2 linked regions of the Stegostoma tigrinum genome follow. The main gene of each other region encodes a partner of the protein of the gene in region 2 in a complex. Links are inferred from orthologs where the notes say so. Each region holds a gene or a part of one and is shown on either strand. Other genes may lie near its edges.

Evidence for each region. The genes of interacting proteins can lie anywhere in the genome.
Region 1: histone acetyltransferase KAT6A-like (region 2) and brpf1 share a complex: the UniProt entries of both Homo sapiens proteins name them as parts of the MOZ/MORF complex. The link is inferred for Stegostoma tigrinum from reciprocal best matches to the Homo sapiens genes KAT6A and BRPF1.

Annotation. Positions count from the first base shown.
Region 1 is NC_081364.1:17,908,543-17,919,015, forward strand, and holds the start of brpf1 (peregrin), read left to right. Parts: upstream 1-6,603; 5' UTR 6,604-6,979; intron 6,980-10,473. Other genes in the region: ccdc51 (mitochondrial potassium channel), read right to left, coding at 3,130-3,420. UniProt on the Homo sapiens protein: Scaffold subunit of various histone acetyltransferase (HAT) complexes, such as the MOZ/MORF and HBO1 complexes, which have a histone H3 acetyltransferase activity.
Region 2 is NC_081393.1:14,499,684-14,510,465, forward strand, and holds the start of histone acetyltransferase KAT6A-like, read left to right. Parts: upstream 1-6,300; 5' UTR 6,301-6,992; intron 6,993-10,782. Other genes in the region: deoxycytidine kinase 2-like, read right to left, coding at 5,797-6,100. UniProt on the Homo sapiens protein: Histone acetyltransferase that acetylates lysine residues in histone H3 and histone H4 (in vitro). Component of the MOZ/MORF complex which has a histone H3 acetyltransferase activity. May act as a transcriptional coactivator for RUNX1 and RUNX2.

The sequences.
Region 1 (10,473 bases), on a different chromosome or scaffold from region 2:
CAAACCAAAAATAGAGAGAAAACAAGATAGGTGGAGAGGAGAGTATAGGTGAGGAGGGAGGGAGGGGATAGGTCAGTCCAGGGAAGATGGACAGGTCAAGGAGGCGGGATGAGGTTAGTAGGTAGGAAATGGAGGTGCGGCTTGGGGTGGGAGGAAGGGATGGGTGAGAGGAAGAACAGGTAAGGGAGGCAGAGACAGGCTGGGCTGGTTTTGGGATGCAGTTGGGGGAGGGGAAGAGCTGGGCTGGTTGTGTGATGCAGTGGGGGGAGGGGACGAACTGGGCGGGTTTTGGGATGCGGTGAGGGATGGGGAGATTTTGAAGCTAGTGAAGTCCACATTGATACCATTGGGCTGCAGGGTTCCCAGGCGGAATATGAGTTGTTGTTCCTGCAACCTTCAGGTGGCATCATTGTGGCACTGCAGGAGGCCCATGATGGACATGTCATCTAAAGAATGGGAGGGGGAGTGGAAATGGTTCACGACCTGGAGGTGCAGTTGTTTATTGCGAACCGAGTGGAGGTGTTCTGCAAAGCGGTCCCCAAGCCTCCGCTTGGTTTCCCCAATGTACAGGAAGCCACACCGGGTACAACGGATGCAGTATACCACATTGGCAGATGTGCAGGTGAACATCTGCCTAATATGGAAAGTCATCTTGGGGCCTGGGATAGGGGTGAGGGAGGAGGTGTGGGGGCAAGTGTAGCATTTCCTGCGGTTGCAGGGGAAGGTGCCGGGTGTGGTGTGGTTGGAGGGCAGTGTGGAGCGAACATGGGAGTCACGGAGAGAGTGGTCTCTCCGGAAAGCAGACAAGTGGGGATGGAAAAATGTCTTGGGTGGTGGGGTCAGATTGTAGATGGCGGAAGTGTCGGAGGATGATGCATTGTACCCGGAGGTTGGTGGGGTGGCCGAAATAAATCCAGTCCCATTTGCCAGCATTTGGCCCATACCACTCTAAACCCTTCCTATTCACATACCTGTCCAGATGCCTTTTAAATGTTGTACCAGCCTCTACCACTTCCTCTGGCAGCTCATTCCATACACTTAATGGTAAGCTCTGTGTGAAAATCTTGCACCTCAGATCCCTTTTAAATGTTCATCCTCGCAAATTAAACCTATGCCCTCTAATTTTGGATTCCCCACCCTGGGGGAAAGACCTTGTCTATTTTCCCTATCCATGTCCTTCATGCTTTTACAAACCTCTATAAGGTCACTCTCTGGCCTCAGATGTTCCAGCGAAAATAGTCCCAGTCTATTCAGTCTCTACCAGAGATCAAATCTTCCAATCCTAGCAACATCCTTGTAAATCTTTTTTGAACCCTTTCAAGGGACCAGAATCGTACGCAGCATTCCAACAGTGGAATAACTAATGTCCTGTGCAGCCACAACGTGACCTCCCAACTCCTATCCTCAATGCACTGACCAGTAAAGGCAAGCATGCCAAATGCCTCCTTCACTATCTTACCTACTTGTGACTCCATTTTCAAGGAACTGTGAACCTACACTCCAACGTCTCTTTGTTCAGCAACACTACCCAAGATCTAACCATTAAGTGTACAAGTCCTGCCCTGATACCACTTTCCAAAATGCAGTACCTCACATTTATCTAAATTATACTCAATTTGCCACTCCTCAGCCGATTGGCCCATCTGATCAAGATCCTATTGCATTCTTGAGGTAACCTTCCTCGCCGTCCATTACCCCTTCAATTTTAGTGACATCTGCCAACTGTCTAACCATACCTCCCATGTTCCCATCCAAACCATTTATGTAAATAACAAAAGGAGTGGACCCAGCACCATGTGGCACACCACTGGTCGCAGGCCTCCTATCCGAAAAGCAACCCTCCACCATCACCCTCCGTCTCTACCTTCGAGCCAGTTCTGTATCTAAATAGCTGGTTCTCCCTAACCTAGCTAAATCAGTCTACCATGCCTTATTGAAGTTAGTGATACATGATTTCCCACACACAATCCCTAATCAGCCCTTGCCTTTCCAAATATTTGTAAAGCCTGTCCTTCAGGATTCCGTCCAACAACTTGCCCACCAATGTCAGGCTCACCAGTCTATAGCTGCCTGGCTTTTCTTTACCATCTTTCTTAAATAGTGGCATCAGGTTAGCCAGCCTCCAGTCTTCCAGCACCTCACCTGTGGTTATCGATGATACAAATATCCGAGCAAAGGACACAGCAATCACTTCCCTAGCTTCCCACAGAATTCTAGGGTACGCCTGATCAGGTCTTACTTAAGGGTGCTAGAAGAATGTACCATTTACATGTCATTTTTAAATGCTGCAAAACATCTCAGAGAAGTATTAATAAACAAAATATGCCACTGAGTCACAGGTGACCAAAAACTTTGTCAAAGGTAACAGACGGATACTATTTGGTAATGATGCATTATTATTAATGATTCTTGCTTACAGTGGTTTTGACATCAAGCAACAACCAAAGCATGCTTCTGACTTAGATCATCGAGTCCCATTTTATCAGTTGACACACCAGGATCCAAGGATGAAAAATGTTTCAGTTCCAATGAAGCTTTATACCTGAAAGGTTAACTTATGTTGTTACTTTCCAGACGCTACATGACCTCATGATTGTGTCCATTGCTTTCAGCTGTAAATTGAGATTACCAGCATTGCTTTTTTGAAACATGTACATGTGAAGAAACAATAAAAAAATCGCTGCTTGTAAGCTCTTTATGTTCATTTGGTATGTGCATGCACACATATTTCAACAAGGGTCACTCTATTCTTCTCATTGCGAAATCAAGAGTCACAGGGAAAGGACAGGAATATGGATCTGAGGAATGCTAGGTCAGCAATGATCCTATCAAACAGTGGAGCAGGCTTGAGGGGGTGAATGCCGAACTTCTGTTTCTATTTTTTATGGTCTTATGTTGGATGACGCACAGGGCCCCTGACTTTTTAACTCCCTTGTTTAATGGTGTTAAGACCGCTTAGTGTGCCTCTACTGGAGAACAATGAATTCAGCACAGACCAGGAATAAAACGATGAGAACAGGTTTAATCTCTTTAGGTGCTTTTCAGTCTACTCATATGATGCTACCTAGACCACAGGCTATAACAGTACTAGCATATAGTCATGAATGGCAAATAAAATCAGTACAATACCTCAGTGACCTTGAGCTGTGCTACTTGCACCTCTTTCAGTCCAACAAACTCCTCATATTTCTCCCACAAGGAATTGGTTGTGATTCGAATGTGCTCAACAGTTTTTTTGCTTAAATCTTTGCTCAGTTCCACCCACTTCAGCTGTGTCGCATTGGTAGTTTCATTTAGAGTCTTGGCAACTGTTTTCTGGGTGGGCTGTGAGCAGTAAACTCGTACTTGGAGACTGTTGCTTCTTGCAATATGGAAGCAAGAAGCACGGGGGCACATCACACTGAGTAGCTGCCTCTTCATCTCCAGGTTCACTTCAAAAGTGGTATTATTCAGCCAGAGCTACAAATAACCTGTGAATGCAGAGACAAATGTGACTTACAGACCTCATGCAGCAATGTTAATACTGGCGAGCATTTAGATAGAATGTTAAACGTAGTAAAATGGCAAGGTGCTTCACAGAAACATTATCAAACAAATTATGATAGCAAGCGACATAAGGAGATATTAGGGTGGGGACGTTAGTTAAGGGGTAAACAAAAAGGAGAGAAAAAAATGCGGAAGATGGGTCTAGGGAAGGAATTCCAATGTGTAGGCAGCTAAAAACAAACAGTGTCATCCATATTAGTATGCTTACAATTAGGAATAGTCAAGAAGCCAGCTAATTTGGAGCAGTGCAGATATCGGAGGGATGTAAGGTTAAAGGAAATCACAAAAATAGGGAGGGGAGTGCATGAGCATTTTAAAATTTAAGTGTTTGTTAGCTGGGAGCCAATATAAGTCAGCAAACGCAGAGGTGATTGATAAATAAGATATGGCGAGAGTCAGTTCTGCTGCCTGTTCCAGTACAAGGAGGGTAGAATGTGGAAGGGCAGCCAGGAGAAAGTTGAAACAGTCATGTCTATATAGGTGTGAATGAGATGATTTCACTAGAGCAATAATTTCAGAGATTGAAATAGTGATCACAGTAATTTTCAAGGTAAATGGTTGAATGTTCATCTTGGGTTGAACTAAAGTTGCAAACAGTCCTTCACCAACTGGCAGTGCAATGTTGCAGCTCTCCCTACTCACTGCATTCCACACATACCAATTCATCCATTCAAGACATAATCTAAAGAATGCAACTGAGTTGTTCCAGAAGTTGGAACAACATCAATTTTCCACTCAGTTTAACAATTTACCGTAAAAAGTAATAATGTGCCTTCAAATCTCACTAACATTCATTGACAGTTATAATTCAAATCCTGTTCTATCAACGTACTTTTAATGGTCTACCATCTTTATTCCCTGGCAAGATAAACCCACCTGGTCAACATTATTGTCAGTTTAAAACATCAACTAAGAGAAATTTCACATCTTTAAAGGATACAGAGTCAGGATTACCAGTTATAAACTGTGTCCTGTAATGAAATGCTTCCCACAACCACATCACCAGAGTTTCCAAATGAGCAAAATCATTGAATGAATAAAATACAGATATATATTAGCAGAAATAACTTATTTTTTAAGCTTATCATTATAAACATTTAAAATGGTAAATTAAGAATTCAGGGATGTTGTTTTCTAGATGGGGGCTTGTGAAAAATTCAGTATATGACTACAGTAATTGTTGATGAATTTTTTATAAAAGTCAATTCTAAACTAAATTACAACAATTAATTACATCACATAATATTACTAAAAAACAAATACTTCACCAAGAAGTACAAATATGCAAGGCTTATTTTAATGAGAATTATGTACTTCAACATTGTGATTACAGATTACATTAATTATATTTTCTTGATTAAAATTGGCAATTTTATAAATTCTTATGGTACACACTCCATTGTCTTAGTTTCTATCTTCCAGGTATTTGACAATTTTACATTAATGATGCCTCCCAAGTCTCAAAAAGACCTGCACTTATCTGGAATGTTTCATGCTTGCTTTGTGGCACTTATTCAAATACTATATACCATATTTAACACATATCATACTTAACGTGGAGCAGACTTGGAGAGATCAAACAGACTACCCTTGATCCTATCTTCTATGCCTCTATGCATAGAATTTACACCTTCATCTATTTCTTATATCAATCGTTTCTTCACAGGCCAAAGATGAACGGGTTCGGTGGATGAGCCATGCTAAATTACTCTTGGTGTCCAGGGATGTCAACGTTAGATGGATTAGGCATGGGAAAATACAGGGTTGCAGGGGTCGGGGGGAGTCGAGATATGAGGTGTAATGTGGTGTGAACGTGATGGGCTGAATGGCCTGCTTCCACAGATGATAAAATGTGAGGCTGGATGAACACAGCAGGCCAAGCAGCATCTCAGGAGCACAAAAGCTGACGTTTAGGGCCTAGACCCTCTGATGAAGGGTCTAGGCCCGAAACGTCAGCTTTTGTGCTCCTGAGATGCTGCTGGGCCTGCTGTGTTCATCCAGCCTCACATTTTATTATCTTGGATTCTCCAGCATCTGCAGTTCCCATTATCTCTGCTTCCACAGAGTTGTGATTCTGTGACAATGTAATATCTCTGCTGCACCAAGGACACAACAGTCACTTTCTCCAGCTTCATCAAACTAACCCATCCCCACCCCCCCTCCTCACGAGAGAAATTACTGGCCTTTCAGGTTAGGAGTAATTCACCTCTTACTCCTCCGTGCGACAAGGTTCTTATTTTTTACATACATATACAAGGTTCTTTTCTGTGGTAATTACAGCACAGATTCCTAAGGCCGGGTTGAAGTTTTTGTGCTGATCCTCTTGCCAATAGCCACATTTCTGCTGAGCGCCTCTGGCTCCATAAACTTTCCCCACTCCCAGCTCTGACCTTTAACCTTCACCGTGATCACTGCGCCTCCGCTGAGAGGAACCGGTTTCCGTGGAAACCCCCCCCTTTACTGCCCATTGCCGCTCCGCCCCCGCCCCGATATTGGATTCCTGCCCAGAGACATTACAGCGAGCTGAAGGCATTATATTTTAACTAATTTACAGGAATCCCGCCCCCCGATCCCGCACCCACCGTAAACTCCTCCACTTACTCCACCATCCGCGTCCACCGATTCGTCTGAATCATGCCGGCGACCAACGTTTCAAATAGAAAGAAACACGGCAGCCTCCCCTTCTGTTTATATCGTATTATTCGTACTTTTATTTCTAGTGAGCTGCCCTGCCGTTGAGTGTCTGTTTCCGAATTAATTCTTTCGAATATGCGCCTGATAAACACATCACTCCATTTACTCTCCGGATTGTCACTCCCGATCGCTCCCAGCAGATTCGCCTCTTTCATTCATTCTCGCAATTCAGGCAGCTGGAAAATATAGTTGCTTGTGAACGCCCATAATAAATCGAACAGGACAAATCACCGCGATGCATATATTTCTAGTCAGATTTTCCTATTTGCGCCTTGCGTATTTTATTCCGGGATATGAATGCAGTGTAGACTGTGTTGAATGTGCTGTTGATTGAATTCAAAGTCAGTTGTTGGTGGAGGAGGCGCCTTTGTTCCATCTTGTGAGTGGAACCCTGGGTTAACATTCAAACTGAGGGGGAAAGAGCCATTTGGTAACAGAGAGAGGGCAGGAGAGGTTGGGGCAGGTCTGGGCTGTATGTCTGTGTGAGTTTGGCTGTGTGTTTAGTCTCCTCCTGAACCCTGGCTTCCTCTGTGTGTGAATGGGGGTGGGGGGTGCCCCTGGGAGAGATGCTGTTGTTATGGAGCTCACAGCCTGGTTCCTTTACTGACTGCCTGGTGGTGATGGGCCTGCTCTGGAACAGCACACCGCAAACCCCTATCATCTAATCACACACACCATCATCCCTCTGCACTGACATCACTACAGGAGCACAACAGAAATGATCCATCCTCTTAACTTGGTAATATTCTTAAATATGTATGCTTTTTTCAGTTGCTCTGTACTTAAATGCTTAATCAGTCCAACTCCCCCTCCTCAGTTATAAATATTTATTGTAAAATATGCTGATAGATGTAATGAAACTCAAAAGAACAACTTTAATTTTAATACATTTTGCCATTTTATTTGCAGAACTGATGCTTTGTTCAGGTTGCCAGCAGCATGAAAGTGTCTGACACTATGGCTGTTGTCATTTTTCAGCAGATAGTTGCTGAAAACTGGATATTTCATTTACAATTATTGTGTATTTTTGCTGATTTGGCAGGCCAATGCTGCTATCGCCATTAGGCTAGTTGTGCTCATGTGCTGTGCAGTGTGAGTTCTGCTAAACCAAGAGCTCTGTCCCTGATCTGTCATTGTTGGAGTTAAATATTAACTGGCACTTCTGTGAATATATGATGAATGAAACAGATTGAGTTGGAGTTAGATGCTTGTTGGTATTGATTTGTCATTTGGCTGTAGTAAAATTTGTTCTTTGCTGTGTGATAGTTAAAGCACCATTGCAAATGTGCTAACAGAATGATGTATGAAATTACACTTCTGTGTTCTGTATGTGGAATTTTATTTTTCTTTATTCTTACATGGAATGTCAGCATTGCTGGCAAACGTAGCACTTGTTGCCATTCTTAGTTATCACTGAATTGAGTGGCTAGCAAGGCATTTCAGAGAGCAGTTAAGAGCCACGACTTTGCTGTTGTTCTGGACTCACATGTAGGCCAACCAGGTTAGGTTGGCAGAGTTTTCTTTGTTTAAAAAAGTTAATGAATTAGATGGAGTTTTACAACAACGACAGTTTTATATTCCATATTCATTAACTAAATTCAAATTCCACCTGCTGCTATAGTGAGATTTGTCCCCAGAGCATTAGACTAAATTATTCTGGAATACTAGTGCAGTGACATTTTCACTACATCATCATCACCCCATTGATTTGAAATATTTCAAAAGGTTATCATGCTGTTTGTCCAACATTTGACACTCACTGCTGTGTTCTCAACATTGGACTTGAAAATGTTTGTGGTATTGCAGAATACATGTCTGTTTTATGCAGACAGCATTGATTCTGGCATGCCTCGGTCAACGTAATGCTGTGCACATAACTTGTGCCTGTTTGATCACTGCACTTTGAATGTGTAGTTGGTTATCACTTGGAATTGCATCTGTCATTGCTAAATAAAGCATGTAGCTTTTACAATTCCACTTGGCTTCATAAACAGATACATTCAGTTTTCAAGTCTTATATTGATTTCTGGCTGATCTTCCATGGTATTGCTCTGGAGTAGCTTATCAAATGACTGTGGCTGTTTGTACTGTTCAGCTATCAAGACAGCTTGTCTCAGACAACAGCTAAGGGCCTTTGCATCAAGATTATTTCCATAGTAACTTTTTTGGCTTATTTGGAAGCAAAATGAATTGCAAGTGTTTGAGTTTTCTGATAGCTGCTTCTGCTCTGGGGAAAAACCAGAAGACAAGCAGGAAATGCCTGGCTTGTTGTGTTCTTGTGTTTGTTGTTTCAGGGTATTCCATTCTGATGTGTTTTGTGCAAAGTAAGACATCTAATGAAAAGATAGAGCAGTGAGATTGTGCTCTCCCAGATACAGTCCTTGTATTTAAAAAGCATAGTTTAATCAATGTTCTACATGTCCCTTTCTTTAATTGCAAGGCAAGCGATTTAACTGCTTGTGCTGCATCCAATATCTATGGTTGTGTAATTGGAATCATAAGAATTGCAAGAGCAGTCCTGGCTGGCATAGCATATTTAAACAATACATGTAGCTAATGCTATGAAATCGAGAAAGGTTTACTTTTCAGTCAGATCCATCTTTTTTAAGAATGTGCAACTACCATGTTCCAAAATTTGTTCCATTGCTTCCCTGGTCAGATTCATATGTGGGGATGTTATACTTTTGAGCTTGCCTGGATTTGAGCTGCCCATTTCCTAACTCAAAAGTTGCTATCACCGGCATGTTCATTGACCAACACTGGTTCCCAACACCTTGCAATATTTAAAATTCTAATCGTTGTTTTCCAATCTCTCTGTGGTCTTCCTTCTTGCCATCTCTGTCAACCTCCTCCAGCACAACAGTCCTTTGAGATCTGAAGAAGGTTCTCGACCTGAAGCATCAGCTTTGCTGCTCCTCTGATGCTGCTTGGCCTGCTGTGCTCATCCAGCTATACACTGTGTTATCTCAGATTCTCCAGCATCGGCAGTTCCTGTTATCTCTGTAATCCTTTGAGATCTCTGTGCTTTCCCAGTCCAACCTTTGGACAGACCACTTTTATTCATTCTACCTTTAGCAGCCGTGCCATCAGCTGCCTGGGCTTGAAGCTCTGAAATTCCTTTCTAAACCCCTGGAGTGCTCTTTGCTTCTTTCAGATGCTCCTTAAAACCTGTCTCTGACCAAGATTTTGTCTTGACCTGATATTGCATAATGTGGCTTTACGTCAAATTTTATTTAATAATGCTCCTTCAAGACACCTTGGGATATTTATCAAGGTGTAGAGCTGGATGAACACAACAGGCCAAGCAGCATCAGAGGAGCAGGAAAGCAGATGTTCCGGGTCCTGCTCTTCTGCTTGGTCTGCTGTGTTCATCCAGCTCTACACTTTGTTGTCTCAGATTCTCCAGCATCTGCAGTTCCTACTATCTCTGGAATAATTATTAATATGTTTTTGCTGTGACAGGGTTAAGTGTCCATACTGTTATTCCATGAATTACTATTTGAATCAGCAATGGAATGGTATGCAAACTGTCATATTTTTGACTGTATTAAAGGAGACCAACTCACTTGACCGATAACATTTGCAAAACACCTAAACATGTGGCAATTCTTATGTGGCAATTTGTCAATAACTAGTTCAGGAAGCTCTAAGTTGAACCCGTGTACTTTTCTACAAGGAAGTCAAATTGTGGAATGGACAAAATTGTCTTCTGGCTTTTCTCCAGGGCAGAAGCAGCTATCAGAACATTCAAACACTTCCAATTCATTTTGCTTCCAAATAAGCCAAAGGATTACTATGAAAATAACTTCTTGATGCAAAGGACCTTAGCAATGGTCTGAGACGGGCTGATTTGATAGCTGAACAGTACAAACCGCCCCAGTTATAACCTAATAGGCAACTCAAGAGTTATTTGTGAAATCATAGGAGCAGTTTGCACCTCATGCTCAGATGTTAAAGATGGGCAGCTGGGTACACAAAGGAAGGTATAAATATATTTCATAAAAATTTAAATTAAAAATTTAAGATAAAAATGCCAAAGCATTTCCCTGACTTGGTAGTGTTTAAAATTGTGTCACGTTAAGGATCCTTGCAAATTCCCCTTTCATTTGTCTGGTATGTGATGAGTTTGAACTCTCCTTGAATTATATATTCAGTGACCGAGGTGATTAGTTTTGTTTCATGGCAGTGATGGTGTAGTCAGAAAAGTCAGCAATGACCTCTAATTTTTAGTTC
Region 2 (10,782 bases):
ACCACACCTCTTCCTCCGTTACATTGATGACTGTATCGGCGCCACTTCTTGCCCCCCAGAGGAGCTCGAACAGTCCATCCACTTTACCAACACCTTCCATCCCAACCTCAAGTTCACCTGGGCCATCTCCAACACCTTCCTGGACCTCTCAGTCTCCATCTCAGGTAACGAGCTATAAACTGATGTCCATTTCACGCCCACCCACTCCCACAACTACCTAGAATACACCTCCTCCCACCCACCCTCCTGCAAAAATTCCATCCCCTATTCCCAATTCCTCCGCCTCCGCCACATCTGCTCCCAGGATGAGGCATTCCACTCCCGCACATCCCAGGTGTCCAAGTTCTTCCAGGACCGCAACTTTTCCCCCGCAGTGGTCGAGAACGCCCTTGACCGTGTCTCCCGCAACACATCCTTCACACCCCGCCACAACCGCCCCCAGAGGATCCCCCTCGTCCTCACATACCACCCCACCAACCTCCGGATACAACATATCATCCTCCGAGACTTCCACCATCTACAATCCGACCCCACCACCCAAGCCATTTTTCCATCCCCACCCTTATCTGCCTTCCAGAGAGACCACTCTCTCCGTGACTCCCTTGTCCGCTCAACACTCCCCTCCAACCCCACCACACCCAGCACCTTCCCCTGCAACCGCAGGAAGTGCTACACTTGCCCCCACACCACCTCCCTCACCCCTATCCCAGGCCCCAAGATGACCTTCCATATCAAACAGATGTTCACCTGCACATCTGCCAATGTGGTATACTGTATCCATTGTACCTGGTGTGGCTTCCTCTACATTGGGGAAACCAAGCGGAGGCTTGAGGACCGCTTTGCAGAACACCTCTGCTCGACTTGCAATAAACAACTGCACCTCCCAGTCGCAAACCATTTCAACTCCCCCTCCCATTCCTCAGACGACATGTCCATCATGGGCCTCCTGCAGTGCCACAATGATGCCACCTGAAGGTCGCAGGAACAGCAACTCATATTCCGCCTGGGAACCCTGTAGCCCAATGGTATCAACGTGGACTTCACAGCTTCAAAATCTCCCCTTCCCCCACCGCATCCCAAAACCAGCCCAGTTCTTCCCCTCCCCGCACTGCATCACAAGACCAGCCCAGCCTTTCCCACCCCCCCCACGACTGCATCCCAAAACCAGTCCAGCCTGTCTCTGCTTCCCTAACTTGTTCTTCTTCTCACCCATCCCTTCCTCCCACCTCAAGCCGCACCTCCATTTCCCACCTACCACCTCATCCCGCCTCCTTGACCTGTCCATCTTCGCTGGACTGACCTATCCCCTCCCTACCTCCCCACGTATACTCTCCTCTCCACCTATCTTCTCCTGTATCCATCTTCGGTCCGCCTCCCCATCTCTCCCTATTTATTCCGGTTTCCTTTCCCCATCCCCCTCTCTGATGAAGGGTCTAGGCCCGAAACGTCAGCTTTTGTGCTCCTGAGATGCTGCTTGGCCTGCTGTGTTCATCCAGCTTCACACTTTATTATGTTAGAATCTTGTAAAATGCATTCTAGAAGACCACGCTTGTGGCTTTCAGATGGTAGTGAGGAAAGATTACACGTGTCTCTGGATGAAACTTGAAGGCACTGTCAGCACCACTCAACCAAATGACTATTATGGGTTATTGTTATTCTCTTGCTTTTTCATCATAATTGTGCACATGTAATCATCGTCTGCCTCTTGAAGATTTTGTTTCAACCTGCCTCCACTACAGTACCAGGTAGTGCATTCCAAACCCAAACTACACACTATATGAAATAACAAGGTGTAGAGCTGGATGAACACAGCAGGCCAAGCAGCAGGAAAGCTGACCCTTCTTCAGACCACTCATGATTTTGAGAACCTCTGTCAAATCTTGTATCTTTTTGTTCTGAAAGGAAAGCAAACCCAACACAATTTCACTACTCTCTCATAGCTGAAGTTTGTCTTCCCTGGAACCATTCATGTTAACTTCTTACTGTTCACATTTTTCTAAAAATATACATGGTACATTAACACTTCAAGTGAATTTTAAATGGTGTATTACAAAATTTCAGCATAACTTCGTTGGTCTTGAGCTCTGTGGCCCTATTAAAAAAAAGTCAGGATCTATGTTTCGTTACGTGTTTGTATTTCGGAAAGTTAAGAGCCGGCATCTACTGAGCAGTGAAACTATTTAAGATAACAAAACGTGTGGGGCTGGAAGAACACTACAGGCCAAGCAGCATCTTAGGAGCACCAAAGCAGATGTTTCGGGCCTAGACCCTTCATCAGAAAAGGGGGATGGGGAGAGGATTCTGAAATAAATAGGGAGACAGGGAGAGGCGGACCAAAGATGGATAGAGAAGATAGGTGGATAGCTGAGTGTGGGTGGGGAGGTATGGAGGAGATAGGTCAGGTCAAGGGGGCGGGATGAGGTTAGTAGGTCAGAAATGGAGGTGCAGCTTGAGGTGGGAGGAAGAACAGGTTAGGGAAGCGGGGACGAGCTGGGCTGGTTTTGGGATGCAGTGGGGGAAGGGGAGATTTTGAAGCTGGTGAAATCCACATTGATACCATTGGGCTGCAGGGTTCCCAAGCGGAATATGAGTTGCTGTTCCTTCAGCCTTCAGGTGGTATCATTAGAGCACTGCAGGAGGCCCAGGATGGACATATCGTCTAAGGAATGGGAGGGGGGAGTTGAAATGGTTTGCGACTGGGAGGTGCAGTTGTTTACTGTGAACCGAGTGTAGGTGCTCTGCAAAGCGCTCCCCAAGCCTCCGCTTGGTTTCCCCAATGCAGAGGAAGCCACACCGTGTACAGCGGACGCAGTATACCACATTGGCGGGTGTGCAGGTGAACATCTGCTTGATGTGGAAAGTCATCTTGAAGCCTGGGATGGGGGTGAGGGAGGCAGTGTGGGGGCAGCTGTAGCACTTCCTGCGGTTGCAGGGGAAAGTGCCAGGTGTGGTGGGGTTGGAGGGGAGTGTGGACCGGACAAGGGAGTCGCGGAGAGAGTGGTCTCCCTGGAAGGCAGACAAGGATGGGTGGAGAAAAATGTCTTTAGTGGTGGGGTCAGATTGTAGATGGCGGCAGTGTCGGAGGATGATGTGCTGTATCCGAAGGTTGGTAGGGTGGTATGTGAAGGCTGGGTGTGAGGGACGAGGTGCGGGAAATGCAGGAGACATGGTTGAGGACGTTCTCGTGCACTGTGGCGGTGATGTTGCGGCCATTGAAGAACGAGGACATCTGTGATGTGCGGGAGTGGAATGCCTCATCCTGGGAGCAGATGCAGCAGAGGTGAAGGAATTGGGAATATGGGATGGAATTTTTGCAGGAAAGTGGGAGGGAGGAGGTGTATTCTAGGTAGCTATGGGAGTCAGTGGGTTTGAAATGGACATCGGTTTATAGCTGGTTGCCCGAGATGGAGACAGAAAGGTCCAGGTGAGGGATGTGTTGGAGATGGTCCAGGTGAACTTGAGGTTGGGGTGGAAGGTGTTGGTGAAATGGATGAACTGTTCGAGCTCCTCTTGGGAGCAAGAGGTCGCGCCGATACAGTCAATGTAACGGAGGAAGAGGTGCGAATGAGGGACTGTTCCACATAACCTACAAAGAGGCAGGCATAGCTGGGGTCCGTGTGGGTACCCATGGCCACCCGCTTTGTCTGTAGGAAGTGGGAGGAATCGAAAGAGAAGTTGTTGAGGATGAGGACGAGTTTGGCTAGGCGGATGACGGTGTCGGTGGAGGGGGGCTGGTCGGGCCTGCGGGACACGAAGAAGCAGAGGGCCTGAAGGCCATCTGCATGGAGAATGCAGGTGTATAGGGACTGGACATCCGTGGTGATGAAAATGACGTGTTGGGGACCAGGGAATTGGAAGTTCTGGAGGAGGTGAAGAGCGTGGGTGGTGTCACAGACGTAGGTGGGGAGTTCCTGGATCAAGGGGGAGAAAATGGAGTCCAGATAGGTGGAGATGAGTTCGGTGGGGCAGCAGCAGGCGGAGACAATAGGTCGACCAGGGCAGGCGGATTTGTGGATTTTGGGAAGGAAAACTCCCACTTCCTACAGACTAAGGGGCTAACTGAGGAGACATTCCACTCCCGCACATCCCAGATGTCCTCGTTCTTCAAGGGCTGCAACATCACCCCCGCAGTGCTCGAGAGTGTCCTCGACCGTGTCTCCGACATTTACCACACCTCATCCCTCACACCCCACCCTCGCAATAATCACCAAAAGAGAATCCCCCTAGTCCTCACATACCACCCTACCAACCTCTGGATACAACGCATCATCCTCCGACGCTTCCGCCATCTACAATCCAACCCCACCACTAAAGACATTTTTCCCACCCCACCCCAACTTTGTCTGCCTTCCGGAGAGACCACTCTCTCCATGACTCCCTTGTCTGCTCCACGCTCACCTCCAAACCCACCACACCCGACACTTTCCCCTGCAACCGCAGGAAGTGCTACACCTGCTCCAACACCGCCTCCCTCACCCACATCCCAGGACCCAAGATGACATTCCACATCAAGCAGATGTCCACCTGCACATCCGCTAATGTGGTATATTGCATCTGCTGTACATGGTGTGGCTTCCTCTGCATTGGGGAAACCAAACGGAGGCTTGGGGAGTGCTTTGCAGAACACCTCTGCTCAGTTCGCAGTAAACAACTGCACCTCCCAGTCACAAACTATTTCAACTCCTCCTCCCATTCCTCAGACGACATGTCCATCATGGGCCTCCTGCAGTGCCATAATGGTACCAGCCCTAGGTTGCAGGGACAGCAACTCATATTCCACTTGGGAACCCTGCAGCCCAATGGTATCAATGTAGATTTCACCAGCTTCAAAATCTCCCCTCCCCCCACTGCATCCCAAAACCAGCCCAGCTTGTCCCTGCCTCCCTAACCTGTTCTTGCTCTCACCGATCCCCTCCTCCCACCTCAAGCCGCACCTCCATTTCCTACCTACTAACCTCATCCCGCCCCCTTGACCTCTCCATCCTCGCTGGACTGACCTATCCCCTCCCTACCTCTACTCTCCTCTCCACCCATCATCGGTCCTCCTCCCCCTCTCTCCCTATTTATTCCAGTTCCCTCTCTGATGAAGGGTCTAGGCCCGAAACGTCAGCTTTTGTGCTCCTGAGATGCTGCTTGGCCTGCTGTGTTCCTCCAGCTCCACACTTTGTTACCTCGGATTCTCTAGCATCTGCAGTTCTCATTATCTTTGAGCGAAACTATTTAACCTTCGTAACAATCATGTCAACAAGCAGCTTTAAAATGTATCATTGTACAGAGTAGTTTTACAGTTTATTTTTCATTAGAATTCTAAAATCTGCATTTGTTTTAAATCGAGAAACTAAGGTGAACCGTAAAGAACTAAAGTCGCAGCAAAAAACAAAAAAGAAAGCAACACCTCACAGGACGAAATGCATGATACCATTTGCTTTTTCGAAGCCGAGAATTCTACAAGCGTCTGAGAAATTTAGTAAATTCCCATTGGTATACAAATTTGGCGTTGAGAAAGATACGGTGGAAGAAAACGGTGCCATGTGTATCGGCTTTAACACGATGGGCACAAGGAAACGAGCGGACTACGCACTTCAAAATATGTCTCGCACAATCCCCAAGATTTTCACATTTATCCGCTTAATTCGCACCGTTTCCTATTGTTCAAAATAGGCACCTTTTTAAATGATCATTCCATTCCTTTTCAAATAAAAACACTTGTATTATTCTCTTTAAACTAGTGCGATTAACCTATAATTCACGTGATAGTCAATTTTATATTTCTGAATTTTCCTTACGAAGCCCTACCAATGTTGCCCTCCACTGAAATCCTGGTCACTGCCCGACTTTTACTGTGAAGTTCAACAGCCACAGTTCTGGAGCAAACGCGTTTCCGAGCAGCTTCTGTTCCCATCATCAGCTCAACCTGATCGCGCCGCTTCCAGGGAGAGTTCACGGTGAAAGCCAACCTCCGTCCCCGGGTTTGTAAAACCTTCTCTGGGTCAGGAAATAAACTCGGCAAGCAGCGATCAAACCCGTCTCTGTGTAGCATTCGGCATTGCGGAAAATTCACGCGTGTCAGTCCCGTTAGAGATCTGAAGTGCAGAGGCATTTTAACTGCGCTCTGACAAGTGTTGCTGCACACATAATGCTGCAGATCATGTTCTCGTCCACGATCGCTAGCTGCGTGAACGACTCCGCCAAAGCACAGAGCTGTTCGATCACTTCGCTTCCTCTATGCTGGAAACGACCTCTTCACATAGGTGAAGCAGTTCCGGGTTAATGCAAATGATAATGTTATTTTACAGCCTCCGTCTTCAATTAACAGGTTGGATTTACATCTGAAGAGGATTTAAAATGGTTGACTGCGTCAACGCGCGCGAAAAAGCTAATTAAATATATAATTTTGAGTCAACAAGTTCTGTGAAAGTGCACGATCCCTTGACAGCTATCTTATTCTACGCCACCTTGGATCATTTGGTACAACCCCCTTTATGCCACCTTTAAGCGATTTCCAGGACTGCCCTTAGCCACAAACTTTTGCTTTTCAATCTCATCCGACAAAATGGCTTGAGATGTTGCAGCAAAGTTATGTTGAAGCAAAGTGTGACAATTAAGTGTATTGACATCCACTAACGTGGGTGAATTATTGCACTTAATCATTTAATATAACAATCATTGGAGAAATATCTCGTATGTTGAACACCACAGCAAGTACAGGTTCTTTACAGACTCGGGTGGAGAAGTTAAAGTCAAGAACTGCCTTCATTGAGGTTGTTGACCTGCTCTCCGAGCTAGCTTTCTTTCGTTCAGACGTTTTGGCACCAGGCGAGGCCTCTGCTGAAGCAATGTTATTCTACTCTGCTTGGAATTGGTCAGCTTTTGTGCTCCTGAGATGCTGCTTGGCCTGCTGTGTTCATCCAGCTTCACGCTTTATTATCTTGGATTCTCCAGCATCTGCAGTTCCCGTTATCTCTGGAATTTATACTGCCTGGTTCACGATGGTGAGTAGTGCCATTTCCGCTTTTGATTTGTATGAGTTTGTACATAGGATCCAATTGTATATGTTTGTTGATAGCATTACAGGTTGAGAACCTTCCTATAGTAATTCCTATGTGTGTCTAATGTTTGGCTTGGGCGACTATGGTTACATTCCCAGTTAAACTGATGGCCTTCATTGTCTGAATGTATTGAAATTAAGAAAAGTTTGTAGTGTCATTTTGCTGCTAGCTGATGTTCGTGTATTCTGATGGCTAGTTTCCTTCCTGTCTGTCCGATGTAATGTTTGACAGTTGTTGCATGGTATTTTGTAAACCATATTGGTTCTGCATGTTGTAGGAGTGGGGTCTTTAATCCTTGAGTGTTTGTCAGAGAGTGGCTGTAGGCTTGTGGGCTACAAACAGACACGCACAGGAAACACAGAATTAGACCTCATATACAAACCCATACAGATCAAATCCTGAAAATGACACTACTCACCATAACGGACCGGATGGTATAAATTGCAAGTGGAGTAGACCAATGTCGTTTCATCGGAGGCCTCATGGATGAGGTTACCTCGCATGGTGACAGAACGCCTGAACAAAAACAAGGGTATGTTTGGCTGGGGGACTTGAGGCTGTTTTCATTAGAGAGAAGGTGGTTGAGAGGTGACTTAATTGAAACATAAAATAATCAGAGGGTTATATAGGGTGGATAGGAGGAGCCTTTTTCCTAGGATGGTGACAGCGAGCACGAGGGGGCATAGCTTTAAATTGAGGGGTGAAAGATATAGGACAGATGTCAGAGGTAGTTTCTTTACTCAGAGTAGTAAGGGAATGGAACGCTTTGCCTGTAAACGGTAGTAGATTCACCAACTTTAGGTACATTTAAGTTGTCATTGGATAAGCACATGGACATACATGGAATAGTGTAGGTTAGATGGGCTTGAGATCGGTATGACAGGTTGGCACAACATCGAGGGCCGAAGGGCTTGTACTGTGCTGTAATGTTCTAAGTTCTATGCCAGCTCAGCAAGCAAGTCAACAACCTCAGCCACAACCTGAGCTACAAATCTTTGCTAACATTTCAAACTGTCTTCAGGTTTCATCTGGTCTTCAAAGTAACATTATTTATTGAATATTAATACTAAATCCTGCTGTAGATGATAATCATTCACTTATCAGGCTCTGACTTATCGAAATGTTAGGTAAGGACTAACCTAACTTCATGTGTTCTCAAATTGTCTTCCAACAAGGAGAGAGTTCTCATGTAACCATAAATAGTGGTTTTTCCTCCAGCGTTCTGATCCAACCACACTCTTGGTATTAAAACTTAGTGAGCTGCAGCTGTGTGATATCACCACAAAGTTGCTACTGTGTTCCAATCCCTAATACAAATTCAAGTATATGACAATTCACAGGGATGGTTAAGCAGGAGAGAGAGACACACTGACCATAGCTCTCCACTTGCTGTCCTGGCCAAAAAAGGTGTATACTAACCGAAGGTCCGAGTTTAATATTCGTTCAAGAAATCCTCATTAGTTCTTAACTGGTTAACTGCATGTGCCTTGAATTTCTTAGTCACTCATTATTCAAATAACAGGCTCAGGCAGTGGCATTATTTGCTTTTCATTGAAAATGGACATTTCTGATGGCCCAGAGAAAGGTGGGGCTCAACCAATTCTTGAATGGCTGGATTCCATGTGGTGAAGTTGCATTATTTACCCAATGGCTATGACTTGGACTAAGCTGTGACAGTAATACCGGACAAGTCAGATCCCAGCGTGACATATGGTTCATTCGTCTCATTTTTCAATTTGTTTACCATAGTGGGCAGTCACTGAGTACGTTAGAGGTTGCGATGTACTTTTTGCAAAAATTTCAAACACAAAAATGGGAAATCCAAGCCATTTTACACAAGTGTAAGAACTGTTTGAATGGATTTTATGACAAATAAAACGTCAACCTTCCAGCTTCTCTGATGCTGCATGCGCCGCCTGGTCCACGCTGTGTTATCTCTGACTCCAGCATCGGCAGTTCTTACTATCTATAAATAAAAATGCAGATGTTTTACCCTGAACACTGCCTTACAGCTACTCACACTTCAATGAAATGTCACCTAGCTTCTATAGTTTCTTTTTCAGTTGACATGGGTGTGCTTGTTCTTTTGTTTCTGCATCACTTGATGTTGTTGAAATAACTACAGAGACCAGTATCCTATCACCAGGTCACCCATTGTTTACATCTGGAGAAACCTTGACACAGTCAGCTCTATCAGGGCTGTCTGGCATACCTCTTACCTGTCAGCCATAGCTCTCTGACTGGACAAGTTTAACAGCCCCTCATATTCTATAATCAGCCATGTGGACATAATTGTTTCAATGACTGAAGTTGTCAGTTTTAATTAATGTCTGTCCACAAGACCCTGAAACTGATCATACTGATCACTTACTCCTAAACATGTATTCTATAAACACATTTAACAATCTTGCAGATAATGCATGCCTTTTGAAATTATTCCCTAAACAGATTCTACTCTTAATCTTTCACACTGATGTCACTTTTAATTAAGAGGCCTGATCATCACCTTTTCCAAGCATCTTACCGTGTTGAAATATCAAGTACCTTGTGTATTTGATACCTTGCAGTCAATTCTTTTTAATGTTTGTCATAGCGTATATTTATGTTGCATCAAACTGACAATTCATGCCTTCCTGCTGCACTCTGCTTGTTAACCATGTTGCAAACCTTGACGACTGTCTTATCCTTTCCTTATAAATTTATCACTTCTCCCTTTGCTTGACCTCAAACTCCCCACACTTCTAAAACCTCTCTACTGCCCAAGTTATACAACTCAGTGCAACACTTAAAAGTCCACTGAGACAGGTGAAGACCATACCGAAGGTATGACTTCCATTTTCTGCAGTAACACTGCCAGTGGCGCATGAATTGAAAAATATTTCTCTCACACCAAGCTTTGAACCACACATTTAATTCTCTGATCAGATTTACCCTTCACCAATTTAAGATGGAATGTAACAAATTAACCACAAGGAGGACCAAAAGCATTTTGTTTCTGATGTCGGTCTAAGTTTCCACAGGCAAAGCAAATATAAAAGGTTTGTGTTAACAAAGTGACATCTTTTGGCTGATTGTTGGCTGTTGGGATTTCTTCACAGGACTAACACTTTCAAAAGATCTACATTATGTCCATGCAAGAACAACACAAAAATGTTAGCATTCAAATGAGGAAAAAAAAGGGAACAATTGTTTATTTGCCAAGAAAATTGTATGCCACGGCAGGAGGATGAACAGAAATAATAAAGATGCAGTTAGTTAAGCTGAAACTATTTTTGAGGAGTGTGGAAATATGGTTGGATGTTTCATCATGGGACATAAACAAGGTACAGTACATTAGAATGAGAAAATAAACTTAGTGGGAGATGTGTCCAATTGACATTTATAGTGGTATTGAACAGGGAACTACAGAATGGGAATTTTTGATATGTATTGGGTAATAACAATGCTGGAATAATGAAAATACAAATGTGTAGCACCTTTTGCACAACCATTGAATTACATTCAAAAGATTGCTATGAGCATTTTACTTCTCTTATCTATCAAATAACCATTGAGCTTCAAAGTGTATGAAACAGGTTCCAGATAGGGAAGAGAACATTCGAGGTCAAGGGTGCGACATCATGGAATGCTAACATTTCACTGAAGGAATCTCAATTTTAGGCTGACAAAACAGTGTGGTGTAAAATTAAGTGTTGTCTTTCACCAGTCCAATTGTGATTAAATCTAGTTCATG